Linked DNA regions of Styela clava. The protein of the gene in region 2 interacts with the protein of the main gene of each other region in a pairwise test. Links are inferred from orthologs where the notes say so. Each region holds a gene or a part of one and is shown on either strand. Other genes may lie near its edges.

The links.
Region 1: the proteins of phospholipase D1-like (region 2) and astrocytic phosphoprotein PEA-15-like interact in a two-hybrid assay, tested with the Homo sapiens proteins (2 studies listed by BioGRID). The link is inferred for Styela clava from reciprocal best matches to the Homo sapiens genes PLD1 and PEA15.

The regions. Positions count from the first base shown.
Region 1 is NC_135253.1:16,808,411-16,824,991, reverse strand, and holds astrocytic phosphoprotein PEA-15-like, read right to left. Parts: upstream 7,795-16,581; 5' UTR 7,749-7,794; coding exon 7,562-7,748; intron 6,726-7,561; coding exon 6,561-6,725; intron 5,999-6,560; coding exon 5,913-5,998; 3' UTR 5,114-5,912; downstream 1-5,113. UniProt on the Homo sapiens protein: Blocks Ras-mediated inhibition of integrin activation and modulates the ERK MAP kinase cascade. Inhibits RPS6KA3 activities by retaining it in the cytoplasm. Inhibits both TNFRSF6- and TNFRSF1A-mediated CASP8 activity and apoptosis.
Region 2 is NC_135251.1:23,605,529-23,622,657, forward strand, and holds the start of phospholipase D1-like, read right to left. Parts: upstream 6,319-17,129; 5' UTR 6,162-6,318; coding exon 5,996-6,161; intron 5,481-5,995; coding exon 5,324-5,480; intron 4,595-5,323; coding exon 4,466-4,594; intron 3,844-4,465; coding exon 3,720-3,843; intron 851-3,719; coding exon 785-850; intron 336-784; coding exon 277-335; intron 1-276. Other genes in the region: protein PHTF2-like, read left to right, coding at 11,193-13,349. UniProt on the Homo sapiens protein: Function as phospholipase selective for phosphatidylcholine. Implicated as a critical step in numerous cellular pathways, including signal transduction, membrane trafficking, and the regulation of mitosis.

The DNA.
Region 1 (16,581 bases), on a different chromosome or scaffold from region 2:
CATATTCTTCGAAACAGCTCATAACGACAAGCATTGTCAACTTCCATATAGCTAATCCCAGCAATAGTAGGTTGACTGCAGTCTTTAATAAAACTTTCCTGTTCCTACATAATGAGAGCAAGCATAAAATCAATTGACCAGATGTGTACATACAGTTACAGTACACAGCAAAACCCGAGATGCAATAGGTGTCGTGTTATCTTTCACGAGTTGAATAGTGTAAGTCGCTAATATAACATATTCATTATCGGAAAATATGCTCCTGGCATTCTTTGGTTTATTGTTTACGATATTTTGTAAGGTTGATTCCATTTCATACTACCACATTCTCTGTAAGGCACGCAACAGTTGTAGAAGTTTTTCGAATTCTTCTACTGTGTCCTACACGGTCAATCCCACTTTACTGCAAATCATTTTTTCGCGTTATCATACAATTCCTAAAATTGTATGTGATACAATGAATTTTATACTTGGCGTCTATACGATTAGTTGTTTAGGCGAGAATGCGTGACAATTGTAGATTTTTACCTGAATTCGTGGAAGGCTTAAAAAGCTTCGAAAGAGATCATGTTTTTTTTGTCACTAATAGGACGTGACGTCAATTCGCGGTGGTTCAAAATAAAGCTATAACTAATTCTCCTATTCAGATTCAAGTTGATCTGCAAAAAAAGACATGTTTAATATACATTTTAGTTGTCAGCTACAAACTTTTCACGGTATAAATTTGTATATTACCATCGGATCGCAGATCGCATATCGGTTCTCCTCTAGCAACTACAAAGAGACTGAGTTGACTATAGATGGTTACTGTGAATTTTGATAACTCTTGACCACTGAAGTCTAACAGAATCAGTTCCTTGTACTACCAGACGATAATACCTATAGGTGATATTGATAGCATAGTTTCCTGCATTGCTTCTCCTCCATGAATTAGACCAGAGGAATTAGGATTACCCTGTCAAGGGTACAATACAAAACGTTTGACGAACTCGAAGAATCGGACGAAAATTTCTTGCTTTTCATAGCTTATTATGCGATTCAATTCTTGTACATAATACATAATATGTACGGTGTCTCTATGCGATCCGGCATCCGGATTAGTGAACGTCATTAAATGTATACGGAAATGAAAACTTGAAACGCAAGGATAATAATTGCTGAGAAGTCGTCAAAGCAGGATCGTTTCCAAAGCGGACAAAATAAGGAAACATACTGTACGGAGAGGTCGGAGTCACATGACATAAGTCAAAATCTGAACTGATTTTGCGAAATTCATTCCATATTAAATATAGGACAAAACACATTATAAAATACTAAAAGACGGTACCATGTATTCAAATTTCTGACTGAAAAATATGCCCCGAATAAACTAGAAGCCTTTTTTGGCAATGAAAAAATGAGAAAAGCGAAGTAAACTTATTTTTAACCACACAAAAATATTTATTAACACATGTACCTAATTATTGACCAGTTAAACACACTCATTATGAGATTTTCCCTGTTCGCTCTTAGTGATTCCATTCTAAATGCCAGATGTAGTAAACAGTTATTTGAACATATACACATCTTAGCAACAAAATTATTCACACTATATTGGACACACTTTATATTATCACACAGGAAACCACAGCATTCGCCAATTCTTGTTAATTTTACAAAATATAATTATATGAAAATCAGCTATATTAGACTTGTATTTAATGATTAAATGTATGAGAATGGTAGCCTGAGGCAGAGTGAATTATGACTTTTCTCAATTAATAATTGGTCAATTTACCACCTATAGTTTGTACGTGGTATCTATCCACATTAGAGTATTCAGTCAGAAACAGTGGACTTTGTAATGTTTATATCCAGAATACAATGCTACAGGATACTAAATTATATCGTGCATACATTGCAAAATCTAATATATTTATGAAGGACAATGGTTAGCCTCTTGATTGGTTAACCGATATTAGTTAGATAGTTAACACTTAAAAATATAGAAATTAAGCAATGAGTTATCAGTCAGGATAAATTCTCGTGAATCTACCGTAGTTCCTTGACTGTATTTTGAGAACGGCTATGAAACGACATTCAACAAGTGCGCATTCAGGTCGTAAATATGAAACCCCTTTGGTATTGTTGAAAAATACCGCCGAAAGCTTCAGTAAAATTCGGTGGTTATCCAATCAATTTTGTCTCATCAACAGTCAATGCATTATAACCGAAATTGCCATCCTTACATATAATGGATGTTTCCCCGAGTATCGATTTCCTTGTTTATTGTCGTAATCACAACCAACCAGCAATAAGTGGTCAATGACGTAACAATTACAATTTCTGCAGTCGCTCAGACAGATATTCAAGCATGGTTGTAAACATTGCCTCGTTTTCGTAGTTTTGCGTGATATGTGCCTGTTTTCAGTTGTGTTCCCAAAAATAGTTAAATACTTCGATTGTCAATATAGGATATATTGACAATCGAAGTATTTAGAGGCAGTAATGGCAGTAATCAAAAATTGGTCTCGCAGCCACGTGGTTGAATAATTTTAATTAAGGAGATGGTTTTGAACATGTAAACCAGCGTCTAAGAGCCAGCTCTCCAAAACATTCGTAATATGCGCATAAAAAAGTTCGCAATATAGAGTAGAGAATTTTTCTGGGGTCAAGGGTCGGGTCCATACAGCTGCACGTAATCAAGCTATATCACACGTGTCAAACATGAAAGTTTTATTTACTTTTATACATATTCTTAGCAATCTTCAAATAGCAGTGCTAAATACACTTGAATTAAAACGATAGAATTGATACCATATATGAGATTGTTTCGTGAAACAGTTCTATGTTTGATTTGGGTTCTATTTCTATCCACCAAATCATTTTGTGAAAAATAACTGGTCCTCTTCTTTTTAGCAGCTTGTCTTATTCATTTAGATACCAATGGATGGGTCAATATTCCCCCTCGACTTGGTTTCAACAGTAAATCCGAATGACGACAGTAATACTACAACGGTGGGAGTAAATCCAGGCTCAAAAACTCGTTTTATCAATAACTATGTTGCGCTTACAAATTATGCTGCACAGCTTGTTGAAGACATGGAAATATTTCTGCTGGTATCGGACATTCTTTGGTGGATTGTTGTAATATTTGGGTACATTGCAAACATTTTTCTATTAGCATTGATTGTTCGCTATAGAAAAACCATACTCAATGTTGCAACTAACGTGTTGGTGTTGAGTCTTGTAATCGGGGACGTGATCGCTTTAACAGTTTTTGTAGGAGTGGAGATTTATAGTTACGTACATCATCTTTCATTTCAAGAAACTATGGAATTTTACGTCAAAATGAGGTCTACATTGCTGACAACATCGGGAATATTTGCAAATTTAATTGTTTCCTCTTTATCGATTTTGAAGTTTGTTGCCGTATTTTTTCCATTCAAAGCAAGAGATTGGATGAAGAATAAAACGGGTGTATGGATGTCCATTTTTTGCTTAATTCTTTCCATAGGAGCAACTATACCGCTTCACATAGCACCGATAGGTCTGAGAATGCTCAAAATGAAGAACGATGAAAGAGACATCGGTCTGATCACTGATGAGTTGTATATGAATTGTGCAATGCTTCTCGTATTAGTGGCAATGAGCATTACAGCTTTGGTAGTACTTGTAACGTATCCACCTATTATTTATCGCCTCTGCCGCCCGAAGGTAGGGAGAAAAGAAAAATATGCAAAGACTGCTAAGCATATCGGAATGATATTGGTTGTGTTTATATTTTATCTCATTCTTTTTGCTTCGGCCGACATGGTATGGTATGGACTTGCTATATATAACGTTGTAAATAATAATACACCTGTCCCTACTGCCATTAATAGTTTGATTAAATATGTTATTTTTATTTCTCATCCGCTATCAATGTTACACATGGTTTTAAATCCTATCCTCCATGCTCTCAGTACCGAGAATTATATGAATCTATACATGCCGGTATTTTGTAAACAAAATATTGCATCCACTCCATCGACTTCATAGTCGTTTTACCAAATATGTTTTTACTATGATATTTTGACTCCAAATTACTACTTCCAGATGTTTTTCCGCTCTATTCAAAAAATAATGTAGTTATATTATATCAAAATGGTAAAATAATATTTATGGTTATTTTTGTGGAGAGTGGGCCTTTGAGAGTAAATAGCTGGGTATATCGGCATATATCACGCGATTACGCTCTGATTGAATGGGTGAGTAGATTGAAGCTGAATATGAGCTTGTGTAAGACATATCATTGACCGCGCTCGGCATTTTCATCAAATGGCCAGGCTCTGCATATGATATTAATGGGATATTTTTGTTATTCATCAAGGATATAACACACTCAGCCATTTCATTGATATGACGCATATTGGCTTGTTTACGTCTCGCTACGGACTTTATATTTGAAAAAGTTGCATTTGTTGCATATTCAAGACAAAATCAACTTACAATCTTTTTCTGATGGCACAGAACGTTGAATAAAAACATCCAAAAAATGCAATTATTAAACACTATTCGGTCGATGATTTTTACATCTAACAGTAAAGTTTTCTCTACAGCGAGTCGATTTCAACAAAGATGTTACTATGACAGCCGTGCATTTATATGCTCAATGAAGAATTGTTTTTATGAGTTATTATTTATGATCAAGCGTAATTTTTTCAAATCTTTCTTCTAATAACGTTAGCAAAGCTTTATTTTTAGTTTGTTTAATCGCGTGTTTACGTAGCAAGAAAATGATTGGATGGGTGCCAATTGCTTCATTTGACAGGGAAGCTCGGAAGTAAAACTGAACTATGAATAGTCGCAAGTTCGTCTCCTGGCATTTAACATCATTTCGATTTTTAAAGTGTCAAAATATATAAGTGGGAAAAAAATTAAGATAATAATAATAACAGAAAGCTGGAAATTAATTCATGAACATTTTTTATTTGAAAAAACTTGAATATCAAATTTGTTTAGCGATTTTGAATACATTTTACTATACTAAACAAAATGTACACTCACCCTCACATTATCACAAGTCACGCTGATGGTACTCAGAATGAATCTTACAAATGACACGAAGCCTAGATACAGTTTCACGCGGAAATTTTCAGCACAAATGTATTCACAGATAAACGACATAAATTACACAGATAGCAAATGATACAGAAAAAGCATCAAAAATTTACATTATCAAAGTATGTGCAGCGAACCCGCGCTCAAATAAACACAACGCAGTAAAAACAATGCTCCAATATCAGATTCAACACCTTGCAGGCCACTCAGTGTGTAAATAAACCGTGTGGGTACGGAAATATATTGGTACTTACAACACGTAATAACCGCAGCTTACGTATCGATTGCTTTTTGGTAAAGCTTCGCTCCAATAAAAGGTGTAAAACGCTACATAAAATCAGTTGCACAAATCTTACGAATATCATGCGTCAGAATACCGTGAAAAATAGTTTGCTACATTGTTTTCGAGACTTTAAGTAACTTATTATTTTTTTTATCAAAAGCTATCATAGCTAGTAAGAAAAAACGGTACTGCTGTAGTATGCGAACCAAGACGGCGGACACCGGAACGTAGTATGTGTACCGGGTTAGGCCATAATTTCAGGTACAAATACTACGGATGTCACTTGACTAGTCCCCGAAATCGTAATAGAACTAAAATAAAGAAAATTGGAATAAAATTATGGCCTAACCCTAACCTGGTACACATACTACGTCCCGGTGTCCGCCATCTTGGTTCACATACTACGGGAGTACCGAAAAAAAGCAGCTAAAAATAATTACATTGATAAGTATGGTAATTATGACGAGAATTACACAAATTTGTATTGTAATATGAAATGTTACGGCTATACTCTCAATCTGGTAAACGAATATCCCATGGGAATGAGTCAGTTAGTGGATGAGCTTTTTCGTCGATTTTTCGGGGGGGCAGATAATTTTATCGCCGGTTCTCCTTGTTCGATATCCGGTTGGTCTAAAAATAAAACGAGATGCTAGTAATAATTACCGTTATATATTTTATATTATGAATAAATATTACAATTTTATATACATTTTTATACATCATGTTGTACTTCAAATAATGTGAATCAGATACGTTCAACGTAACGCGTTTAACGTAACATTACAAAATATATATGTGTCAATTATTAATGAAGCCTTGTCGATATGATCATGGAAGCATTCACCGATAAAGTTTGGGAAGGAGTTTGGTACTTCAACAATTTCTTAAAATACATTAGAGTAATGAATTAATAAAAGTGACTCGATAAATGTTCTCAAATATGACACACGTTTTGGCAAATTATATTTGAACGCATTTATTGCTCAACTGTCGTGAACTGGGATAACGCATAAACATATATATACATGTATATATGAGTTTGTTGTAAATTGCTTTTCAAGACTAATAAGACGGATGATATATACAACTCTTTTTTTAATATTTCTCAAAATTCTCTAGCCGTTTAATTTCATTTTTATAACTGTATAATATGCCAATGCAATATTTGCATTGTAATAAATATTTTATTTACCTGGAGAACCTTTATATTTTTTTGAGGTTCGCACCCGGATTAATTTTTTCCCTAATTCCTCTTCGTTTTGAAGACCTAAATTTGATATTCTGTACTCCATAACAATTGTTAATAGGTCCGGTCTACGACAGATTTCGAAAACATGTTCGATGAAACTCGGATCATCTGCCAATACAAAAATTATTTTATAAATTATAATATTCATTGACCATATCATTTTAAATATGACACGACATGTACGAACAAATTTTAGCAATATGCCATGTGGAGAATAATATGGTCGTTAAAGCATAAATTTGCATTTATTTTTATAAAAGCGTAAATTTGCATTTATGCTAGTTTTAGTGCTGTACGTTGGGAAACTTTGCAAATTTCAGCAAGTTTGAATATATATTTCCTTACTTTTGGTAAAATGAATAAAATTTTGTTTTTTTGAAACAATTTACCAAGACCAGAAAGTTCGATGTTTTCCAGTGGACTTTTAATCTCGAATGTTCGTGTTGTGACAATATACAAAAGGTATTATTCGCTGGATTAATTATTGGTGCAGGAATAGCTAGCATGGGATCGTTCAAAATGCATGACCATAATGGCTGAGGAGTCGTTAAAATCGTTCCACAAAAGTATCCTTTTATTTAAGTTAAGTAAAAAAAACTAAATAACGAGCTGTTTGACAAACAATACGCAATTTGGCCCCAACTGTGAAAAATAAAAATTTATACTCAAATAACAATGATCATGAGGCCTAATGTAAAAATCGTTTGTTTATACCACTTTTTCCTGTGTGGGACAAGCTTCAAATGACTTAAGGTCTATTATATTATATATTATAATATATTATACAGCTAATTTACTGGTTTTAACTTCAAGCCAGTTTTGATTGTTCGTTTGTTTTCCTATTCGAATAGTAACAAAAATTAGAGTCTGGACAATAATAGCAATGAACTGGTTTGCACTTAAAATAATTTTTTATCAATTTCCTAAAACTTCAAATTACCAACCTGAGGACAAAAGGTTCTTTTCACGAAGAAATGTCAACCATTCCTTTGGTGACGACAAACGCTTGAGATCGCACTCCTTGATTGCCTCATCTTTTGAAGCATCTCGTAGTTGCGGGAAATCAGATTCAGTTATCTTCTTGCTCAAAAGCGCAATAAGATTATCAAGTTCTTCATCTGTTTTTGTCATTTTATAATTTTAATAATAAACTCGTAACTGTAAGGTTATAAATGCGATTGAATTTTATGGCGGGTATTACTTGCTTTGTTTGTATTTAGGTATTTTGATGAAATATCGACTGAATGAATGTTTATTTTGCTTCCACCAGCAATTTCGCAGAGTTTACTCTTTCTCGGAAAAGTTTTTGTATTATGTCGTCTCTCGGGGAGGAATATCGTCCTACTGGAAAATATTGAACATATAAAATTGTTCATTACTCCCAAAACTGTCTTACATTTATATGAACCACCGGCAGATTGTTATTTTAAAAAACGCCAAGTCTATTATTCTATCGACATACTAACCGCGTTCTCTAGGGAGTACGTGTTATCGCGTAATATAAATTTCATATCCGGAGATAAAATATAAATCGTATGACCCTTTGGGAGTAAATTATAGAATTGAAATTCGACAAAATTATTTAAATATGTTTATGTAGCATATCCGGAGATAAAATATAAATCATATGACTTATTGGGAGCAAATTATAGAATTGAAATCGACAAAATTATTTAAATATGTTTGTGCAGCATAATTTATTTGGCTCAGTTTGGTAATTCCGTTCAATACACGACTCCTTCCTAATTTATAAACTATTATCGTTGACTAAGTAGTTTTTGTACATGAAAGATCATTTAAAAGTATAAACGAAATAACATAATACACGCTTGTCTCCGGCATGACCCGAATGTTAAAATCTTTACAATTTATTTGCAATTACAAAACTTACTGTGCTCGTTTGGTATCAACACTGTGTCAAGCAATCGCAAGTTGTAAAATGCACCGGTAAGTCGTATTTTATCCATGGTTCATGTTCTACATTGGTCAAATTCTGGTAAATAACATCATCGTCGAAAACACCGTTCTTTATATGTCTATCGCAAGAGTTGCCGTTTCAATTGTCGGGTCTGTGCCTACTAATTAGTTTCCCATAATAGCGTTTTACATACCTTAATGTTTGATTCAGCAGTCGAGCTGTAATTTTAAAAATCAGAAAGTCACGTATAAGGCGAAGTACGACACTTAAGTACACACCATTGTCGACAGGAAACGATACAAAACCGATGAATTCGTATCAAGTCCCCGAGGTAGACAATCGAATAGCGCGCATTATCTGTGTCCCATATTCTGTCGCTTATAAAATTTCATCAAAACCAGATGTGACTTTTCAAACAGTTGCGTTTGAATATTTGAAGACTCAGATATTACGGTTAACTGTGTTTTCCAACAACGTTCAGTACTTGACTAGATTTGAGTCATCAATTCCACACAGACTAAATTTCGAATTAGTGCGACTTATCAGGTCAGAAATTAAATGAATGTTCTTCCATATATGAATATTATACAAATTATATCGAAATGACAAAACTATCAATTACTAAAGGTTAATCACTATTCATATAATTACTCAAGTGAGTCATAGGGTGTTTGCTTACTACAACAACCTGATCTCGCTGTATATTTTCCGAAATCGAACATGGCGTCTTACCAACCTAATTAACATGAACACCAATTCTTTTTAATATTCTGAACTACAACACTGGATGATTGGCAATAAAACACACACTCTGACACTATCTGAGGATTACTTTTTATAACCTACAGACCTACCGGACTCAACAATCCAAAAGCAGTTTTTGAGTTATATACAGCTGTACAGTATATACCTCTGCTCTTGGTAGCATTCAGGCCTTTAGCATAAGCTCGACACAATAATATTTTGATCATTCCCATGTCTCCCACGCTACAAGGTAAATTCTGAACTTCACCTGTGTGGGAACTTGTTTTCTCTAAAACTCACTTCTGTCGGATGCCTACTTTACTTCGCAAGCACACACAGACTCTGGATTGTGATAGTATTTGGGCCTCACTAGACACATCGCACAGACATAACTGTTTAACTAAGAATGACGTATTCTTCCAGACAACCGACGAATAAAAACATTTCTCGAGACGAAATCATCGGCATTTCCGTCACGCTATAGCTTATCCGTTGTTCACATTCCAAAGTTACAACGTATAGCTCGGTTTTAACTTTTACTCCTTAACTCACATTGGCTTCTAGAATCTAAGAGTCATATTAATTACCCAAATTGTGTATTTTTTAGGTATTTTCATAATATTATGTAAGATATACATAGAGTTAACACAACTGATTGTGGAATTTGGGACAAGATAATCAGGGTTGTCATATACCATATATATATATATACAGTATGGGTTTTTGCCACCCTATGTGTAATCAATGCAAAAATTATTCAATATGTCGTAGGCGATCGATAAATTGTTATTAAATCAGTGACAAAGCGAGTTTTCAAGTTCAAGTATGTATGACATGAGTTGTTTTACTTTTAAAATTGCAGAATTTTCCTTCCGAACTTTGAGAACCGAATGCTAATATAAACGACTGAACATCCATATGAGTATCCTTTCCTCAACACATTTGGCAACAAAGAATGGGATGATTTGGCAGCAATTTTCACCCAATTTACTTAAAGCAAATTGATCGGAAAATAATTGTATGTAGGATAAACACAATAAAACATTGCAGCGTAATGGTTTTGCTTTTTGTGTTATATTAACTACTGATAAAATTCAATTGTGTGTCACCATTTAAAAGCCATAATATGCGACTGATAGTTGAGTCACAAGCTGCCACGGACTTGCTAAGGACGACGATTTGATTCATTGCTGTGACAGAGCTGACACTTGCATGATATGGGATTTGTAGCAACCCCGACCTCAATACTGTCAGAGTAACAAGTAAATTTAAAAACAATTTTACAACGCCTTTCCATAGCCGATGTGAAAAAATCGCCACTATGCTTAAACTTATTAAATTATCCGATATTGTTATTACCAATAGTTGAATGAAGCTCTTAGTGAGACCAATACATAATTTTTGTTTTATGAGACGTTCATCATACTTACACTGCAAACGAGGCTCTTCAAGCAGCCAATTCTACGCAGTAGGATACTATTTTAGGAAGGGCCCTTATCTTTCTTGTCCGGTACTGCCTACCCAATTTATCACACCTTTACAAGGTAGTCTCATGGGTTTTCGTCCGAGATCTTAACCATGCGATGCAAATATAGTTAAGTTCTATATGTGCTACGGTTTACCCACTAGTTCACATTTTTCGAGGCAATATATATGAATGAAGGAGTTGATACCTTGTCATCATTCAAAACAACAAAAAGACAGACTTCTTACACCCTGACTAGAACAACTTAAGATCTCTAATCAGATATTCCAATTAAATTAGGCGAAAGTGATAGCCACTGGTTCAGTCTGATTACTCAGTTTATGTTTTTCGTTTATACCGCAATTTACTGGATTGTTGTCTTGCCAGACTGAGCTAGGACCCGAGGTGTTTAAAAAGTGTTATCTAATCTCGTTTAGCAATATGCCACCACACTTTTATGACAATTACTGTTGGATGTATAAACATGAAGTGTTATTTATTGTTTATGCTCAGATTATCTTTCCACAGAATATCGTATGAAAAGGGTTGGCATGTGTGTCGACTCGGGTTATACTTGAGTAACATTTTTTGGAAACGAAAAATATATTCAAATGACGTATATATTTGGACTGATTCGACTTGATTAATGCGAAATGACTCAGTCGTGAACTGTAACATTGGAAGATGGCTCATTTAGATCAGAACATTACACAATTTGTAAATGTTTCGACTTGCTGCTTCCCACTGTCTCACTTACCTGAGCGAAAATTGAGTTTGACTAGACTTGCCTCAATTGATTTTCAATTCTCGTCTTCGTCGTATATGAGCAATCACTATAGATCTGTGAAAAATCATATAAAAGTCGACAAGTTGCGATAAGAATCCGAGATGAGGTGCTGTCTGCTGTGATAATATTGTGTAAGAGACGACAGATTGTGAGTACGTGCTCATCGACAGCAACATTAATATTGAAAGATGCATTAACAGAATTTCAAACAGACAGCATTTGAATCAAAATGTTTCGATATTGTTGAGTGAAGTGAATTGTATACAATATTTAAATATTACCTCGAATGCGGATGATCGCCTCTGCAGTCTGCAGACATATTTACATATTATTGATATAAATGCATGGACCGTACTAGAGGCCCTATCAATAGTGGATAGGATAGATTTACATATTTATCCCGGGGAGAGGAAAGCCGATAAGACAGACGGCTTATCCATATGGCGAACCACGGCCTCTCGTCCGGTTACTATTCCAAGTCGGGTATGGGATTAGTTATATTGTTTGTTTTCGGAAGCATGAACTTGGTGGTGGAGGAAGCCGTAACCGACCAGCGGTAACGTGAACCACCCAACGACGGCGAGGAGCCCAGCAATCTTCTCGCACATAACCATCCCTGCATGGGATTCGAACCTGCGAACCCACGCAGAGTAATTAGAGGTGCGGTGGCGAGCGTATTCCTAACGCTTAGCCCGTTGAGCCACACCGCCGCGCCAGTGACATCGCGATATGGCACCGTAAGTAACTATATATATATACAAGTTCATAGTTAAATAATCGTGTTTACAACTTTTACGAAACCAAATACAATTCGAATAATTGTTTAGCGTTCTATTTATGTATGAAACCACTACTTTGAAGAGTGGGCATGGTACTTGTGCCGTCGTTTTGTGTAGGGGAAAGTGGGGAAGGTTGGGACACTTTTTTTCTTTTGCATATTTTAAGCCGTTAATTATGCATATTCACTTACGTTTGCGGGACTAATGCATAGAGGGGTAAATGTAGTTTTTATTCAGCGACTAAGAAATTCCTTTGCAACACACATCTTACTACCCAAATGCTTTGAAAAACGTCTGTCAAGTGTCCCACTGTATCCCACTTGTGGGGCACATTCGGACAGACCCTGGGGCACAATGGGTCAGTCTGTCAGAATTCAACTAGGTATGCCTTTAAAAATAAGCAATTAATCAGCATAAACGTCTAAAGAACAGGGAAACTTCAAATTTGAAGCTTTAATATTTTTAAAAATATTTAAAAAAAAATGTTCAACTAAAATAGTTCAGATATTTTGACAAAAAAATTCGCAAACAAATTTGACTATTTTCTTCCTCTAATCCTAATCTGGAAATATTATTGATTCTCGGAAATACTCCATATTGGGCCATGGGTCGGAAGAAACCATAATATTACACAAAATATACCGCATCTCTAGGTCTCTAAGCACTTATTGTATCAAACACTGTCGAATTGTGCCCTGTAGGGCATTTTCTTTCCACTGAATCCCGGACCATTATTTTCAGACCATCCCATGGCGGAATTCGGATGGCACATCCACTCAACGTTATGAATATTTTACAGTGGACTGAAGCTGAAAATTATCAGACGGTGGTTTGTCATGTTGGGAAGGCTAAAGTAAAAAAAAAGAAATAACTGGAGTGGTAAAATTTTAGTTTCAACCTCCTAAAACCAATTTCACCTCGTAGCTTGCGCTGCTTTACCCGTCCGTTGTCCGTTCGCGGGGACGTTGTAACTCACCGAAGAAACATCGAACCGCGGACAGGATTGCGGATATAGTATCAGTGTGAGAGCTGATTTTCCACTGTGCCCCCATGTCCCAACGTGCCCCACCTTCCCCTATTTAGATGACCCTGAAAGATGCTATAAAATGTAGGCCTGACTATAGATCTATTTTAAACGCAAGTACTGAGTTGACCAGAACCAAGAACATCCAAAAGTATTCTAGAACAGTGGTTCCCAAACTTTTTTGACCATCGCCCCCCTAAAGTAGTTTATACAACTTCATCGCCCCCCTGCACTACAAAAAAATATAAAGTCAGAAACGAATTTATTACAGACCAAATAAGAAGACAAATCATAGTTTATAGTGTTTTTTAATGAGATAGATGAGCTTGGTGTTCTTCAGCGAGTTTTTTATTACATCTAAAATTACCCCATTTACTGATGGAAAGGTGATTTCATTGTTCTAATAGCAATAGTAGCACGGCTGAAAACCCCTTTTTCACCATATAATAGGTCGGAAATGAAAAAAATCCAGGGTCCTACCTTCTCAAAAACCGCCGTGTACTCTTGCCTTATAGCATTTCACTTCCTAAATTCACCACATTTCACATTAAAATAAGAAGAACAAAGTTAATTTTCCCAAACTTATAATAATAATTTTTGAACATTTCATTCATTCGTACAGCCTGATGACCTGCACCAAAATACTTCGGAAAAATCCATCCCCGATTCCTCATCCCATCACGGCCTCCATTCCATGATTAACCAGCCATTTTTTTGGATTCATGGACTCGGATGTGGAAGAAGCCGTGACTGACTATCGGCTACGGCCCAGGGGTCGACAAATTTTATGTCGCTCGCAGGACAAAATTCAGGGTTGCTAGTCTTTTGCGGGTCGCATATATTTTTTGAGAGTTAAAAACGAAACACACGCGGAAACTGCGACAATCGTGAACTCAACTCAGTCGTCCTATTAAAAAAATATTACAATGACATTTAATGTGACACTGTCTTGTTGCTGCATCGCGCTGGATAGCTTTACGACGCCAAGACTGAAACATTTTCTAAATGGGCATCACCAAACCCACTTCTTTGCTTGTTCTTTGTAATGTTCATTTTCGAAAATAATGGTTTGCACAAATATGTACTTCCAAACATCGAAGTGAATATTTTCGCACGATTTGTGAAATTTTGATAAATATATATTTTCTTTAAGGAGATACATTCTTACAAAAATCAAGCAGTGATGAATCTCTCGAATAGAATATGGATTTTATTTCCTTATTGCTTTGCAATATATTCGAATATTTACTGCGCTATTGAACCCCTGCACTCAGCATCAACTTTTCTGCGTGTTTCCATTTGTCTAATTATAATTAAATTGTAGGCTCGTTAAACGAGTGGCTGTTCACTAAATTGTTAGCATATAGTATAATTTACTCTAAACGTGTCTCACGATAAATTCTGTTACGTAAAAAAATGTAATTTACTCCTCGAGCGTAGATTATAAATAAAAAAATTTCATCGTCAAAACCGCCGTTTGGATATTTCCCCGGGCATAGACTTCCTTGTTTACTTCGTGACATTGGCCAATCAGCAAGATGCAAAAAACGTAACAATGCCCCCTTTCGCAGGAGGTCAGACACTCTCACTCGGACAAATTTTCGGGGGTGGTCGTGAGCACTACCTCATTTTCGCGTTTTGAATTATATTCGTTAGTATTTAGTTGTTTTTCGGAAATTTAAATGAAATAAGTCAATGATTAGTTTGTCTTTCTATGAGTTTCAGTTTAAATACAGCAATCAAAAATTAGTGTAGAAATAGCTGTGATAGACTAGGCTAAAATTCTTTATCGGTACTTTTAAAAAACAGATTGTTAAATGGTGTGTATTAGAATGATAGTTTGAATCAAATACCCCATTTTACAGGCCACAGCTCGCGAAACCACTCTTAAAATAAGCACCGAAAATTTTCAAATGGTAAAGTATGGAAAGAATTTTCCGCGGTCAAAGGTCCATTCAGTGAATCGTCCCGGGCCAGATTATTTTACTTCGGCAGTATTTTGTCGACCACTGGGATACGTAAACTACCTTACCTTACCTTACTGCAAAGACGAGACCAGAAATCCTTTCGCGTGTGAACATCGCTCACATGATTCAAGCCCGCGAATGCACACAGAGTACAGAATTAAGTGCGCCGAACATAAAACAGCTTTCGTGAAATCGCCCCCTTAGACTTTTTCGCCCCCCTCTGTATCGTTTTCGCCCACTGGGGGGCGATATCGCCCACTTCGGGAATCACTGTTCTAGAATACAAAGAAAATACTAAACATTATAACTGGCGAACCATTTGGAGAGATACGATACAAGAATACTCCAAAATAAGATATAAAACTTAGTAGCAAATTAGTTAATAATAGCCTACCACCCTTTTGACTCCAAAAAACAGAACCCATAAAATTCTCAATTACTTTTACGAAATGGACTAAATTATGCCATTTTGTCTACACTTAAACTTATCTTTGTGTGTGATGGTACAAGATTCAAAACTCTAGGCGTCTTGCACGTTATGTTCCAAATGCCGTCCTCGGCGTTGGAGACAGACTTGCATCTGTTGCACAAAATTGCCAATCACTCGCGCACATTCGTCTATGAGGATCTCTCTGATTTTTGCTGTACTTGTAGCCTTTAGATCAGCAATTGTTTAGGGATTGTTCTGATACACATTGTCCTCAGAATTGCTCTTAAAGATAGAATTGTCGAGGATTCAAGTCCGATTTATTGATGCACACTCGACGTCACTGCTGATCAGCCTTTCTTGAAATCGCTCTCTCAGCCAGTTGAATGTGTGTGGGGTCGCATCGTCATGCCGGAACCACTGGTCATTTCGATCAATCCCACTACATCATCCAAGTGATATCGAGAGCATCTTTGGCACCATGACGTAACGTTACTTATTCAACGTTCGAGCTCTTTTTTTTTAATTAACAGCTTGTTCCCACTAACGAAGGTTGCACATTTTCTGTAAAACATGCTTCAAAAATCCTTATGCAAAAATAGTATATATAGGGAATTCCCCAAAAATCATAGGTTTACAACGAAATATAATAAAAAAGTTGCTTTAATTTCATAGAACTCGTCAAACGCATCAACTTTTATGCGACGAAGTCACATATTAAAAATCTTCATAGTTGGGAAAAAATGAATTGGAAAACAATTGCAGAAAAGTGCCGAAGTATTTCATTATGAATAGCCTATCTAAGCTGTTCGCGACTGTTATCTTCTCCTATACCTTTACGCTTCAAGACTTC
Region 2 (17,129 bases):
ATGGTCCGGTGTCTAATTTCTAGATGTGTTTATATTTGACGAAACCAAAAGTTATTTCAATGTTATACGTGCGGTATAAGTGATCCTTTGATATAAATTGGTGGGGTGACTCGCATAGATTGTACAAATAGAGTTTAAGTAAACATCAACGCATACAAGTCTATAAACATGGCACACCAAAACAAATAAGAAATATGGTCGTTTATTAAATATTAACTAGGAGAAATATTCAATGCCTAGCTGTTTTGATATTAAAGAATTTTACAGAACACTTACTTTCCTTTGGTCCCGAGATCTTGGATAAATGAGAATCGACTGACTTCCAAAAATTTTTTCTGGAATGTCAAAATCATAAAATTTAAGTGTGAAATAAGAGAATAATTCAAGAAAATACACTATGACAGAGTTGAGTTTTACTAGTACATTGGACTGTAAAGCTGAGAAAACTTTTCGCTTCAGGTTTCAGAAAATAAGATTGTTTCGAAATAATAAAGATTTTGCACACACAAACACACTTTTTGAGTTTCCATCAGTAAATTTTACTTAGATTATTACTGATTAAAGTCTGGAATACCAACTGTGTTAAGTCTGAAATGACTCCCTCTCAGAGACTTACATCCAATGTACATACCAACTTTGAGTCTGTGGCTCCACATTATATTTTTAATGCACATGACGTCAACCGGGCTTATTATTGTAGGAGACCGAATAAAATTCAAAATATTATAGGAATACAAAGAGAAAATGGTTAATTAAGCTACTCAAAAAGAAAAACATAGCTTACCATTGAACTGTGCTTCTTATACATTGTACTTTTTAATAAACTGTTGACATAAAGTTCAAGATGTTCCTGAAACACAATTAAAATCCATTGTTAAAAAATATATTGATCATTTCTCTTGGTATGCATATTCTACACTGGCAAAAAATCTACAAGGTAAATTGACATAGAATCCCACATTTTGCTGATTGCACTCCCAAAACCTTCAAATTCCAATAAATAAACTTTTATTTTGGGAGTCATCAGTGACTAACAAGGTGGTCATAGAGTAACAACACCTCAAGATATAATAAAAGTTCAAAGGGCATGTTGCATAGCCACTTTCCAACAGGAAGTAACCTAGGAAATATCATTTAGTTTCAAAGTTTGTGAAACATCAGCTCCAATTGCATACAACATGGCTTGTCCTAATTCTTAGCTAGAAAGTTTATTGCATAGTATGTACTGCATCACATGCATCAATTGCATTTATAAAGATATGTGCTTGTCATAGATGGTCTATGAAAAACAAAATATTTGAACTGATCTAGTTTTTTGAAAATCAAAATCAAATCTATTTATATGGAAAATAAACATTTTGTGCAATAGCAATTCGTATAAATAGGCATACTTCAACAATTCAAACTTTAGTTATTATTCATGAAGTTGTATATTGACAAATAGTATTGTTAAATTTTTTTCACTTTTAGCATTCACAGCAATATATTGCAAATGTAATGATTCAAAGCTATTTGGAAATCACAATTACAAAATACAGTATAGGTATGACATGACAAAACAGTTTCGGTATATACAACATTATATAACGGAAATGGAATCAGACAATCAAGCACAGAACGGTGGAATCATTTCCGGATAAAGTCCACAGCTATTTTAGCTAAGATGTTTCCTGGTTCCTTCCGTAAATAGACATACTAGTTAATTTTCTAGGCCATAACTAGGAATGTACATGACTGAATGAAAAAAAATTTAATTTCTAATTTTTGGAAACTAAAACCGTTACCAGGACATATCTATCACCATTGTCTAAGATGTTGAAGCTTTATTAAAATGGCATCTAAAATGTCAGTACATTTCAATGTCGTTTAGAATTCAGTAGTTTTGAAATTTTCATGATTCGTTGTCCGTTCAAAAACTCTCAATATTTTTTGCCTGCAGCTCTTTTATAAAATTACCTAGTTATGATTTTAAGGCGTTTCTACCAGTTGTTTTGTTTGCCATATTAAATAATGAAAAGCCAACAATTGGCAGCAAAAGAAAAATACATTACAGTCAAAATACTTTAAATTAGTGTAGTCATCAAGAATAATACAGTGTGGGCTTTCGCTCATGTGTTTCGGAGAACAAATCTGTGTGGCCCCCATGGCAGGGCCCTGATGGCCCAGTTGAGAAGGACTGATTATAATGGAAAAATGAAATTTTTTATTTCAATTGCTTATTATAATTTTACATGTGAACTGAAGTTCGGAACTACGGTAAGTAGATAATGGAACTATGAGATAACAAATAATTTTTAGTTTCAAGATCATTAAATTAAAAAATGGATGATATGAATGATAATAATAAGCCTAAAATTCAAGAAAACAACAGGGAAATGAAAAATCATTCACTTACTAATAATTAATGAGGTGGGATCAAGTTTGTCCCTTGGAAGCATTAGCACACTGTAACAATGACATTAATCCACGCGCATTCAGCAAAAAATAGATAAATATAAAAAATAGTGGGCAGAGAAGAAATGTTTACATTTAAAGCAACACTGCCCTAAAATGGTAATACAGGCGGGCACAAAAATAGCAAATACCTTACACCCAAGCAGAGTCAAAATCAAAATGAATTACAATGATATTGGAATGAAATATGAATATTCTAAATGGTTCATGCTCTACAGAGAAATTGGAAAAAAACCTTGTAAATTCATGAAAATTTAATTTAGTCATCAAGATTATAAATATTGTGTCTGCTTTTTTTGTTCATGTCAAATACATTATGACAAATTTTTAAAATAAAATATTCTCAAATATTCTTAAAATCAAGAATTTCACATTGATTCGATTATTCGGTGGAATGGGTATTCGTTCCTACCAAATCCATAATTAGACCATACAACAAAAATCTACATAAAGGTTAATTTTCTTGTTTCAATCTTCAAAATAACATTTTTCAGCAGTAGTTTCAAGAATTTTCTAGAATTACCACAATGATTTATAAATTTTTTTGCAAATTGTATACATCATACACAATTTTGATATTTGATCCACTTAAGTCGGAATAATGAAATTACGTGTCATTTGTTTTGATATTTGAAATTCCAATGCATAAAATGCCCTGAGGTAAAATAGCTACGACATTGCAGTTAGTTTACAATATCAAGCAATTTGCTGCATCCTCATTAACAATGAACTGAAAAGGTCAATATTACATGGAAGAGGCTTTACATATGATAACAATATTATATTATGAATAAATTCATGGTGTGGCCGTTTGGAAGCTTTGAATGTATATTTGTGGTGTAAAATAGATTGAAAGATAATCAAGAATTGCTTTTTCTTTAAACGCACTAATTCACAAGGTCCTAGACAGGCAGCCACTGAACTCTCAATTGTTAGCAATTGGAAATGGGAAAAGTGGGTAGAAGCCAATTTCTTTTATTTCTATCGGAGTCCTATGTGGCCCAATATTCAACCCCAAATTTTTTTTTCATATAATTTACTGGCTCACTTTTAAATGAAATACAGTAGAATTCTTTCAACAATTTTGCAGTGGTCATAATATTAGTCATTTTACCTTAGTATATTTCAGCAAACCTCTTATTTAAAAACCTGACAAGTTGCATAAATGATACTTGCAATGTAAAACAAAGCCTGACTCAAACACGTCATATATGCATAATCAAGCAATAAATGATATATAAATAATTTTGTTCTACCAAACTCACCTTGCGTTTTGTGATTTGTTCTGGTGATACCCACATATCAGGCCTCTTCGGAAATCTTGGTAATTTAATTTCTGCCTCACCTTTCCGTTTGTCTACTTTTACTGTTTTTCGCTTTTCTTTATGACTGCAAAATTTGAGCAAAAATTGAAAATAGATTGATAATAAAGAGGTATGCTTTAGATACTAAGAAATAAACGAATCAACAATAACATGATAACTCATATACCAACTACCAGACTCATTTTTTCAAAGCAAAAAATATCAAACATGAAAAAAGCAGCCAACTATGTGAACCCAAAATTTTATTAATTTAAATAGGCCTAGGCCTACATGAAGTATATTGATTTCAAACTCTCCAGAGTCGAGTAGACATTTTAGGCCAATCAGGCTGTCTGGTGGTGATAATCTAAATCAAACTTTCTGACAGAAAGTATAAAAAGCATTTGAGCTTCAAGCATTCTCAGTAGACAATTAAGAAGGAAATGCATGCACCATAAGCTTTCAAAATTTTTTTTTCAAAGTTGGGAGATGCAGTCAAAATAACTTTCAACCTAGAGTCAAGCATTGGAGTCAAATATTCAGTAAACCAGGAGTTTGTGGTCAGAGTCACCTTTGAGGTGGCTCAGATAGTTTCAAAGCGTTAAATTTTCCCGAATTCTCAGCTCTGGTTATAATTCAATAACAACGAGAAACCCATGCTCTATGAAAATCCAGGCCCAAACAAACCTATTACCATAGCTTGTTACCTTTTTGAAGGCAGTGGAATCTTCAATGATGTTCTATGAGCCCATAGTTTGTCATGGAGTTCACGAAGATGTTTGAAACGTTTGTGAACAATCCATGTAAAAGGACCATGACTCACTTCAATTGTATACCTAAACAGAAAATGAAGTCAATATCAAATCACTATTATCATCATCTTAGATATACAGAACAGAATATTACATTATAATGATGCCTAAACCGGAGAGCAACATATTCTGGAAAAGACATACCGGTAATCCAAAAGATACTAATATTAAAAACAACCAATAGCATTTCTGAAATTCATTCTGGAAGAGACGAAAGTCAATAAATAAATTACTCATAAAGCAAACCACAAACTCTCATCCGGTTGCCAGTCTAGATTGTGTATGGGAATAGATATCCTGTTGATTGTTGCATATGCATGGGACAATAATAATCATACATAATGATCATTGGTCCAGTTATAAATACAAAATCTTAGCTGCAAGTGGGAAATGCTTTATTCTGTAATCTAACACTATGTGCATGGAATATCTTAATACTGAGGTGAGAAGAACTGGAATTTCCAATGAAGCATGTTCAATTTCCTCAATTTGTTTTGGTTGTAATCTGAGTAGTAGCATCTAGTGGAATAATAGACTGGCTATCAGACATTTTTAAGTTAAAATCTAAAAAGCCGGTAGACAAACATCCCAGCCACTATGCCCAATGAAGGTTAAAATAATAACATACTAGTACTGAAATTAGCCACTCTGATATTTGATGGTGTCAATTATGCCACTTAGATATATGAGTTTCTTCATAGCATGTTTAGTATGCGAAGTGTATGCTGACACTATTCAACAAACAAATCTTACAAGTATGGATTCAATGGATGATGAAGAGCATTATCTCTTGATGCTTCAATAAATTTGAGAGTAATTGGCGTTCCAGATAGGAATCCTGAATTCAATCCAGCAAAAAGTCGACTTGGACTGCTGTATATCGACATATAAGGAACTCTTGGCTTGATTGCTGAAAATGAAAAAGAAGTTTTTATTGGTGCAAGTGAAGAATTTAAAATATAATTTATTTCAAGTTAATTCAATTCCTCTTCAAATCTAACGATTCCTAAAAATTCCCAAAAATTAGAAATTTCATAACTCATTATGAATCGATTCAAATATTCAGGTCATTTTGAACATCTTTATGATGGCAAATTTTTCAATTTAGTACTTTTAATTATTTCTAATATTAAGCATTGAATATGACTAACTTCAAATCTATTCAACCATTTGATTCACTTTGTACATCCCTAAAAGACAGCTTTCAAAATAAAATTGTTCCCAAATATTCCTGAACTCAAAGGTTTGTCTGAATATAATCTATTTTTAATCAATTTGAAAATATCTTTGATTTGAACATCCTTTGTAAAAACATGCTTTTGACTTATTTTTTTTATTTATATAAATTCATTTATTACTCATAACAGATTCGCTTTGCTTATCTTTATCTGTATCCAGATCTCAGTAATAAATAGCCCAACTTACCAAAAGCACTTGTAGTAGAAGGATAAGTGGGACTATCAGGTTCTTCCATTCCTGGCGATGGCAATGGAAGAACTTCATATCCCTCACCATCGTCTGACATCACTGTATCCAAGCGATCAAATGAAGGGCGGTTCCTTGCCCTCGCATTAACTCGATCTTGTGCCATATTGTCTTAAGGTGATCAAATACACTTACATATGCTGAGTAAACTAACCCAAACATTAATGATTAAAAACCACGCTGGTTTGCCAATATTGTCATTATTGAACTACAATAGGCTACGAGTCTTCATTGCCAATTTACCTGTGAATGATAAGGTACACTTAGAACCATAATTAACAAAGATATGTCGAATGTTTAGGTAAACGAAATTTAAATGTTTTTAGTATTAATTTTATATGGTGCCTTTTTTATTCACGCCTTCCACCCAAAGCAAGAACCTGTGCAAGCCGCTACTGATATCAGGCAATGTGTAAAGAGATATTATTTTTATCAAAAAGTTAAGGTTCTTTGATGTTGAATCACGAATGGCCAAAGTCAAACAGTTTTCTCTAGTTTTTGAGAAATTGAATGCAGGTCATAATGCTCAATATGATACGATAAGTTTTCAAATAAAACTATCCTAATTAGTTAATTAATTTTTAAACGATTTCCAATATTTCAATCGTTGTGGCTTGTGGCCAACTTCATGTGGAATAATATATATAAAATAGGTCAGGGCTATGTTATAGTGATTTTGTAGCACAACGTATTATTCGAGTAATATAAAATAAAAAAGAACTCTATATATCTATAACGCATTCGGAGGCTCTTTGAATCCTCACCAATTACTATATAGGTCATAACATATTTCATATCTGCAATGTGTGTTGGGAAAATTTCCTTTCAATCAAGCAGCTGCACAGACAATTTCCTTCATTTGCATAAAATAAACAAAGAATAATAACATGAATCATTGCAGATATGTATTATTACAATCATGTTCTATTCCAACAATGCTTTTTCTATTTTTTCCTTCACAAGTAATTTTGGACTATTTCCGGAAAGGAAATGACCTCATAACTATTCCACAATTAGTTAATTTCCTCTATAGACATTAGAAGATAGAAATTGTAATTCCATATTTTATTTTGTTACGGTGGGTATTTACATTCCTGCTATCATATTATTTAAAGACTAACAATATTGCAATAGGCATTGCATTGAATGTAAAAATTTATTATATCGAATTCAAAACATACCTTATTACACTATGTTCAAATTCAGAGCATATGAAATCTCAGTAAAGGCTGATAATTAATTTTTGACAAGATGCAACTAGGGAACACATTCATTCGAATAACTTTTGATAATGCAAAACTTAAAAGATTTGAAATTAAGGTATTCTCAAAACAATTTAATGGCAAACTCCAGAAGCAGTTAGTTTGGTAATTGGTCTCAAAGCTACGAAAGATAAAAGCAGTGCTTCCCAACAGAGAAGGATTTCGCTGTTTCAGAAGGAAAAATTTCACTTTGCATTTGTATGTAGTATTACTAATATTCTTTTTTTACTTACTCTTTTACTCTATCATTGTAATTAACTATTCAAACAGTATAAAATAGTACAAATCATTAGTATCACTAGCTAATGATTCAATAAAGACTGAACTAACACTAATAAAGAGAGGAATAGTAAGAGAGGAATAAAGAGGTATACACAGGAAGGAATTTGATGAAAAATGTTGGGAACCACTTAATTGAAGGATGTTGTATAAAAAATTTTGATTGATTATTTGACCTGATTGATTTTTCATTGTATATTTATAAAAACATAACAATAGGTTTTATTTATCAATGACTTATAATTAGGGTAGGCCTACATAGGAGCTACTGTGTTATTTTATTTATGAAAACATTCTATTTATAGCAATGACTGTAAAGCTAAACCTCTTACAGTCTTAAAAATACGCTACTTTGCAAATTTTGTATTTCAATGTATCTTGTTCTCCAAATTTATTCTAGTAATTTCCAAATGATGCACACCTTCGCTTGGAAATTTTTCTATACAAACAGCCATTTATACATTGAATGTTTTTCTGTTTATGGAATTAAAAGATATTGCAAAGAACATGAAAAGAAGGCATAATTTTTTCACATACAGAAACCAGGAAACCTTTCATTGATATACTAAGTTTATCTGAATTGCAGCATTGTTTGTCTGTTTACTTACTAGTACTGAAAAATGTACCCTATAATTAAATAATGACATAAATTATTACAAAACCCTTAATTGACCATTCCACATTCTGACATATGTTTTCCATTGTTGATCGCCATGTACAGATGTATGTACTGATGTAATACCAAAGTCTTATAAAACATATGAAATGTTTCCATCCATTCATCCTGCAATTAATAAAATATACGATTTCGTTAACGACGACTTCTGTAATTGAGTTGTTCTAAACTTCTGCGTGGATCTTCAACCTAAACTACGCCACATGCACCCACGAATCAGTTAAACCGCGACTGAATTATTTTAAGTTTGAAATAGGATTTGCACAGTTGCTCCAATGCAAAATCTCAGAAATTCATTACTGCTACATAGCGACTACTAGCGAACAATTGAATTACAGACAAGGAAACCGAGAATCGGCACTGTCATTGAATCTGCTATGAAACAAAGGACTTTGAGCCATGAGGTCGCCCTCCTCGTCAGGTTTATGATTTTACAACGCGGGAATTACCGTTTTTAAGTTGCAAACTCTTTATTATGTAAATAACTGAACTGGTATTATGAAAAGCTCTCGCAATTGGCAGTAAGAAAGATATTTTTAACCCCAAGTTCAAGGGGTAGAATGGGTTGTCTTCAATAGACAGGCGACCTACGTATGTAATATATATTATCGATTGTTGTTCTTCGCTAATGGTTCCGCCAATTTTCAGTTATATTTGGTTTCCTCTCCCCCGGGATAAATGTGTAAATATACTACTATTCTATCTGTACATCGCATTAGATGCTTTTGTCTATCGTTTGCTGTTGAGCTTGTTTTATCTTTATCAAGCATTTCCTGTCAGTTGAAGCAACGGACGGACATACTGACATAAAGCTATAAAGCTCAACACACGGCAGTACGGTACTGACATAAAGAATGTTATAGCTTTCAACAGCAATACATTGTGCTGTTATTCACCCTTGAACCACTATCTGACCGTGGCTGTACTTAGTACTGTTTCTGAATTGTGAGTTTTTGTATCATGCAAGTGTGAAAGAAATAACTTCAGAAGATTGAGAATTAACTACTACTGTACTATGAAATCAAAAGTGATACATCACTAGAAAGAAATAGATAGATTTCAAAAACAAGCCAGAAATAATGAAAATGTATAATTAAACTACGAACAAATACTGAAATAATTACAACGAAATACAGATTAAAATAATGAGAGAAAATAAAAAATGTAATAAACAGATAAATGAAAAATAGTTAATAAATAAAAACATGTCTTCAAGTTTCTTCCCAATTCATATTGCTTCTATAATATAGTTTTTTGTCACCAAAAATTCAGAACATCGTCGAAGTAGCTCACTCAATAATGCACCTGCTAAACCTGTGTTATGTTTTGGTATGCAGGTATGTAGTTAACATATACATGAATACAGAAATAATGTATATACACAGTTCGACTTTTTTTTTGTTATTATTTCCTTGTTAGACTTGCTTATGGGTGCCGCTGCTCGATAACCAAATTTGGTTTCTCGCGGCTCCCCTCACCCTGAAATGCCTTTTTATTTATTTATTGCAATTTGTATATCAAGTGTGCATTTAGTATGGTGAGAAAATAAACTACTGATTACTGATTACAGAAATAATGGACGTAAGAGATTTGACTTCTCAAAAACACTTATCATTTCTCGGCTGTGACGAAGCAAGTATTATTTCTAATATAGCATTTTCACTGTAGAAATTTCCACTAATAAGTTCCTGAATTGCTCAACTAACCTCCATTGATTCGTATCAATATTTTCCTTGTAACATAAATTGTTTAATTTATGCGAATGTGAAATGATTTTTTTTTACCATCAATTATAAACAAGTGAATGGAATGGGGACAGGATTTTATTCCTTTACTTCTTAGCACTACAGTCTTGAAGCTAAATAATTAGTTATTATTGTTACATATAACTTTATATAGTCTGATATTTTGTCCACTTTCTAAATTTATGATTCTTTATGAAAATCCACTTATACCACCTAAATAGTGAAGTAGCAATTTAAGTTATTAAAACTCATTCTTCATTCTTGTATATTTGGAACACAAATTCAAATGAAATTTTAATGAATTAGGCTAGTAGAAGTAATAAAGACTTACCATTGGCTTATTATGCCACTTACCGGTATTAATATATTTATTACAGTATGTGGTTGTGTATACCAGGGGTGCACAACTCAAATGAGGATATGTGCCAAATTTTTCAAAATAATCTTGTCGCGTGCCACGCACAATCGTTGGTATTGTAAATTAACTCCCGTAAAACAAACAAATTTCAATAATATTACATAATAACAAATATATATTTATTGAAACAATTTAATGTCCTGAAAAACTGCTGATTTTGATATAAACGTAATATTTTAGTGTATCTCATAAATATTTTTTTTTACAAAACCATTCGTGTGCAACGTTTGAGCGTATGGCGTGCCAAATTTGGCACGCGTGCCCTGTGTTGTGCACTCCTGGTGTATACCATACTTCTCTGTGTTAAAATGCTGGCAGACAACAGTAACTAGGTAGTATATATTGGCAATATCTTTTTCTTTCATTCTTGTTTACCTTTATCATCGATTTGCCAATTAATTTTTCCTGGATAATGATTAACGAAAAATCTCAAGAGAAAATTGTCATTAACTTCGTTACACATTTATATAACTAGTGAACTCTCGAAATAATGAAGTGTATTAATATGATATACGTATCTGAGCAAGGTTTTCTAATTATTTTACTTCTTTTCATCTTGAATAATTGTCCAAAAAAGTATAGAAATTTTACTTATTTTTTCAGCTGGTAAGTGAAGATGAATGTATAAAATAGCAGGGCATTCTAGTATGCTCTGCAGCATAAACTGACAAACATCCTACTGCGGTACATTGTACAAACTATTTATTTATTCAATAATGACTGTGACGTGAAAGCTTTTGAAAAAAAAAAGTAAGCGATGGATTCGATGTTGTCTTGGTACCAGCGGAAAATTGGTGCTTACGACTTGCAAATATGGGAACGTGCGGTGGAGATCCGAGAACAGCAAGACAGCGGAATGAAATCAATGGATAAAAGAAGTTCTAGTGTGAAGCCTGACCTCATCGACATTGACCTTGTTCGTGGATCAACGTTCAGCAAAAATAAGCCACAATATAGTTGGCTGGTTGTAACTTGTCAAGCTTTTATCAGAGTATCGTTCCTACCACTGTATGCTAAATGGTGGATTCAGCAGAGTAGTAAGCCGATCACATTGTTATTCTTCCTAATGTATATTCTTCAGTTTGTTGTTTTCTTCATTTACTTCAATGGAACAGAAGAGGAATTTAAATATATTTCAACTTCAGAAATAATGATGCCATCCATTGTTATGTTCTTATTGGGAAGTGTGCATTGTCATGTCGTATCCACAAATTTTCGCTTGAATGTACGAAATGATTCTCGAAAAATGAAGAAGTCTAGAACTCTCTCTTCTGCTTTACTTGAACCTGTTGTATGCTCCTCATCAACTTCACATCAAAGTACTCTCTCCCTACTCACCTCAACCTTCACTAATAAGGGTAAAGATAGTACAGAAAACAATAACCATTGTTCTAATGGAATAAGCAAATGCTCATCTGAACATAGTGACGCAGAGAGTGATACTCCTTTGTTAAAAGATGAAAATGTGAAATCCAGCACAGTCCACGAAAATGGAAAAATAAATGCAAGTCAAGAACAGTTGCCCATAGTGGAACAGTCTGAGGAAAGCTTGAACATTACCAATATGAAGAATGGTGATATACAGCATAAAAGTGTTGCGGACTGTGACAAATCTACTGATAATAAAAAAGACGATTTTAAATGTTTACGACAATCCAGTGTAGATAGGGAATCTGACGAAATCAGTACTGACAGTGTTGAAAATAAGAAACATGGTCGTCATGGTAATCGCCTTGAAAATCTAAATAGTACAAGTTCCAGTAGTAATTCGTCTGAACAGTCTGGTGGCTCGGATTCAGAAAGTACAAGCACAAATGACAATAAGACAAGATACAACAAGAAAGCACGAAAAGATAATTATTCAGCAACTGTTCTGCTTCCGGGCTCTGGTCCACGTGTTGATCGAATTAGCGTAAAAATTTGGGAGTCTAATCAGTGTAAAAAGGTTCAAGCATCGTTATTGGACATTGGAGGTATTATCAGAAAAAAAGTGCAGAATGCTTTTTCGCCGAGTGATATGTTTTTCATAGGATTTTGCTTTGCGATACTGATTTCATCTATTCCTACCTTATATCGCATTTGCTTTCATCAAAATGCTAACAATAGTGCAACCAGCCACACTGGTTCAACAATGGAGTTTGTGAAAGGACTGGCGGAAAGTTTATTCATGGTTACTCATGGAAACACCACTAACTTCAAAGTCATTTTTGTTATTTATGCTACTGCAATGAAACGGTTTATCTTCAGCTTCACTTTTTTTGTTATGCTTTGTGCTGCTCATAAAACGTTTAGGCAAAGACTGTTATTTGCGAAGTATTTCAGCCACCTCACTTCATCAAGACGGGCAAAGAAATCAGACGTTCCTCATTTCAGACTTGATAAAGTGGAAAATGTTCGATTATGGCTGTCTCTGAGATCGTATCTGCGACGTCGTGGGCCACAAAGATCAGTTGACGTGATTGTTTCTTCAGCATTTTTTCTTTCTCTCTTCTTGCTTTGCTTCATATCGCTTCAGTTACTCCATGACACTGATCTATACCTCTCTTCTTTAATTTTCTGGGAAATGACAGCATGGTTACTTGCCTTGGCTATATTTTTACTTAATTTTATGACGATCGGTGCCCAAATTAACAGAAAATACAGCAATACATCGATGCTGTTGACGGAGCAGATAAATTTATATTTACAAATGAAGCAGAAGCCTAATAAAAGAGAGGAATTACAGCGAGCGAACAGCGTTCTCTCAATTGCTTCAAAGCTTATAAAGGAAATAGAGATGCCGTTTAACATTTACGGTCTAGCGATGAATCCTCTCTTATATAATATCACAAGAGTGGTTGTGTTATCTGCCTTTTCAGGCGTCATCAGTGAAATACTAGGCTTCAAATTGAAGATTTGGAAGATAAAACCATGATAAGTTCGTTGAGAACTTGATAAATAAACTCAATCATTTAAAATGTTTGTTTTTTTAATTACTGGTTAAAACTGATACATAACCAAGTCGCCAATTTTTTTTCATATTCCATCTGTGATGGAGAATGCTTGTTGCAATTTATCATTGTAAATATTAATATTTAAGTGTTGTTACCTCACTGTATCATAGTATTGTATCTGTGCTTTGCTCAGTGTTCTGCTGCCAATATTTGCCTGGTGTCATATTTTAGCGATGCATAGTGCAGTGCAACATGCGTAGTTTTACCTGTTACTTTTGTTTTCTTCTAACTATCGGTATTATCTTCTTTAACATCTTATTTTTTGGTGCTTTGTTTTGTTGAATAAATTGTATGTTGGTAATTGTGGTACATTTAAGAATATGCTGCATATGAAAGATTCAGGCATGTTCAGCACATCGCTACTTTTTAGCATTATAAGACTAATTAATTATAACTGTACAATGAAGATTCCTTGAATCACCCACTGCCTATTGAAAGGCTTGACAAGGTTGATTGAAATGCCTGAAATACAAAACGCTCTGACATGCTCCCATTATATTTGCTTTGCATTCAGACCACTGGAAGCCCAATCCCATGACTTTTCCTAGCATTTCATTCAACCATAGATGATTGAGCCATACACACAATGAAAGTTCCTTTCTATCAATCTATTTCTATAATACTATGTTATTCCTATAAACATGAATTGGTGAGTTTGGACCACACAACAGCACTGTCTCATTGGAAAGATTTAAAATACAACATACTCAAGTTGAGAAAACACACTCTAGATCGGTTGATGCCAATTTAATTTAGAGAATTTCTCCCAAGTTACATGGCGGAAAGACAGGTAGTCGTTAACTGTTTTTGAAGGTTTTTGTCATCCAAATTCATGAACGTAATAACTTGGATTAGATTGTGCAGGTCTGTGCAAAATATCCTATACCCGAGCCTAAAAAGAAAAACACACATAAAACAACAACATAATATCTCCAAAGAACTCGTATATTTATAGGGAAACATTTAAAAGAGAAATTTACAAGCGATACAATTTAAACCAGACCTGAAGAAATCAAATATGTAAAAGTTTTAGATAAACAAAATTATAGAGTCCATAACTATTTATTGGTATTTTCGAAGCCTGGGCACACACTGAATTTTTTTAATACCTCTTGTGTTGAAATTAATTTTGCAAGGAGAAAAGTTTTTTAAGAGGTTAGTAGAGGACAGGTCAATAGAAAATAAGAGGTGTTACTAGAATGGAAGATTTAAGAGAGTTGGTTGGTAATAAGTATGGTACTGCCTTTGAACTATCGTTTACCAAAAACAATGAGAAAAAATCCATAAATGGTTTTGGTAGACCTAATGTATAGTAACTGAACCAAACCTGTTAACATCATATTTTAATATACAATTCAACTTTATATTTGAATCAAATGAAGGAAAAGGAGATAGAAGAATGTGAGAGAAACAAAATATACAAAAATAAAAGGTATTATTTTACAGTAGAAGAAAGTTAATACTGATGAGTGGATATGGAAGCGTTAATGGGCATATGTATAAAACAGGGTCCTGTTTGAACAAGTTTAATCGTATTTAACAATTCTAAGACCAATTTAACATTCTAAATTATAATTATCAACAGTAACCATACTTTTACCACATGTGAAAAAAGGGAATGACTCCCTGTAATATATATTTAAACATATTTTCGGCACAAAAACTGTGCAAAGGACGGGTTATCTATCTTAAATAAAACTGAACGAACTTCTCATTGTGATATGAAACTCTTGAGAAATAAAAATGCAATTTAACCAAAACTAAATCACAATAGTTGAAAATATTTCAAGCAAAAGCCACCAATAAAACAAAAAATATGCACAAAATAAAATAACCAGGCAAAATTTTAACCAGTACTCAAAATAACAAACAAAAAAGGGCATAACAGTGACAAATGAGAATATCAATATGCACAAGTTAATAAGCATATAATATGGCTAAAAATTTATAGTACGAGACAGAAAACGAAGATGAAAAGGAAAACGTTTTTGATATATTTTTTTCAATGCTGGCCAGTTTTTATATCAATTAATTACCAGAATACTCACTAAATTTAGTTTAATTCAAGATTAAAGAAGTGTCTCTTTCAGTATCTAATCATCAATTTTCAATCATTGCTGGAACAGTTAGAAACCACAAAAATTTCCCTTTCAGCCAATAATTGCCAGCTAGGGCATTTCTCCCTACTTTTTTTAATGTAGTTTTAGTTACCTTACTTTGATGCAATAGATTTAATTCAAAAATGAACTTTAAACAAATCAAATAGAACTACCGACACACTATAACATAAATGAAACCCTCAAAAACCATTCAATTTTGCTACAGAAAAGTTAAACAAAACTATAATCAACAAAAACAATTCAATAAAACACTCAAAAAGGCAGTAATTAAACCATTGCACCATACTATAGCATTCATAAATATAAATTCACTCCTTTGATTGAAAATGTGATTGCGTTCTGGAACTTGCATGAACTATAATATTTAATTGAGTTGATAAAGGTAAAAAGATCTTTGGCCGGTACATCATTTGGTTCCTTACATTTTTTACTGTCATTATGAACCTCACAATGGAAATAGAGTTTAATGAAAAACACAATCAACTTACCCTGTAAAGTAAAATCTAATACTGAATTTTTTTAAATATTGTCGTAACAAACTTCAGCATATTCCATCGTAGACAATCATAAAAATAAAGAAAAAAAAATTAGATCCAAAAAATCTCTACTGGACATGATCCTATGGATCATTTTGCTGAAAAAGTCACTTTTCCCGCCTTAAAAATGTTTAGTACTTGGGGATGTAAAAAGTTGTTTTCAAATGTCCTACGAGCCTGAATATTTCGCCCCAAATTATAATATTTTCCATAATCGACACCTTCATATAACATTGGATGCAATTCTATTAATATTTGGCTGGAATTTAGACTGTGCAGTGACCATGTTAGCCATTTAAATTAGCAATGTTCTCTTGTTGGAAGTGGTCTATTTTTATCATGGTTGCCAACAAACTAAATATGATCCCAAATTCAGAATAGAATAATTCTGAACATGATTGTAATAATGACTTTCATGCAAGATTGTCTAGGAATATATAAAACCAGAATGGAACAATTTAGTAAAATTTAGAGTATCAACTGAAACCATTCCTAACAAAATATAATAGGATTTCTTTCCACAGCTTGAGCATTTTTCTGTCTTTCGAATATCCAACATCAAAAAAATCGAAACACAAATGCAAAAAATATATGTACAGAACAGGTAAATTTAGACACAAGTAACCAACTAATTTAGTAATCAGTAAAGTATTCTATATAATTTTCGAGATCATTGTCAAGATCAAGAAGCAACGTTTGGATCGATAGATAGTTAAGGCACATTATGAGTAGCTAACTCTGTTTACTAAAATTTCGATATAACCCCAGGTAGATAGATACACAGTTGTGTTTTTCAGGATATTGAAAATCAGTGCCGACACGGGATGAGTTGACGATCACTGCTATCCTTCTGCCCGGGTTTTCTATCTCTTCTTTCTTGACTTTCCCTCCATTGCGAGGCAAAGCACCCTTTTCTTACATACATGGAATCTAAAATTATATGAAAAAGCATTAAAGATCAATATGATACTCAGTTTATTACGGTACATCCTGGGTGAGGTAGAGTGCATGGGATATGAACCCAAGATGTGTAACCTGCGACAAG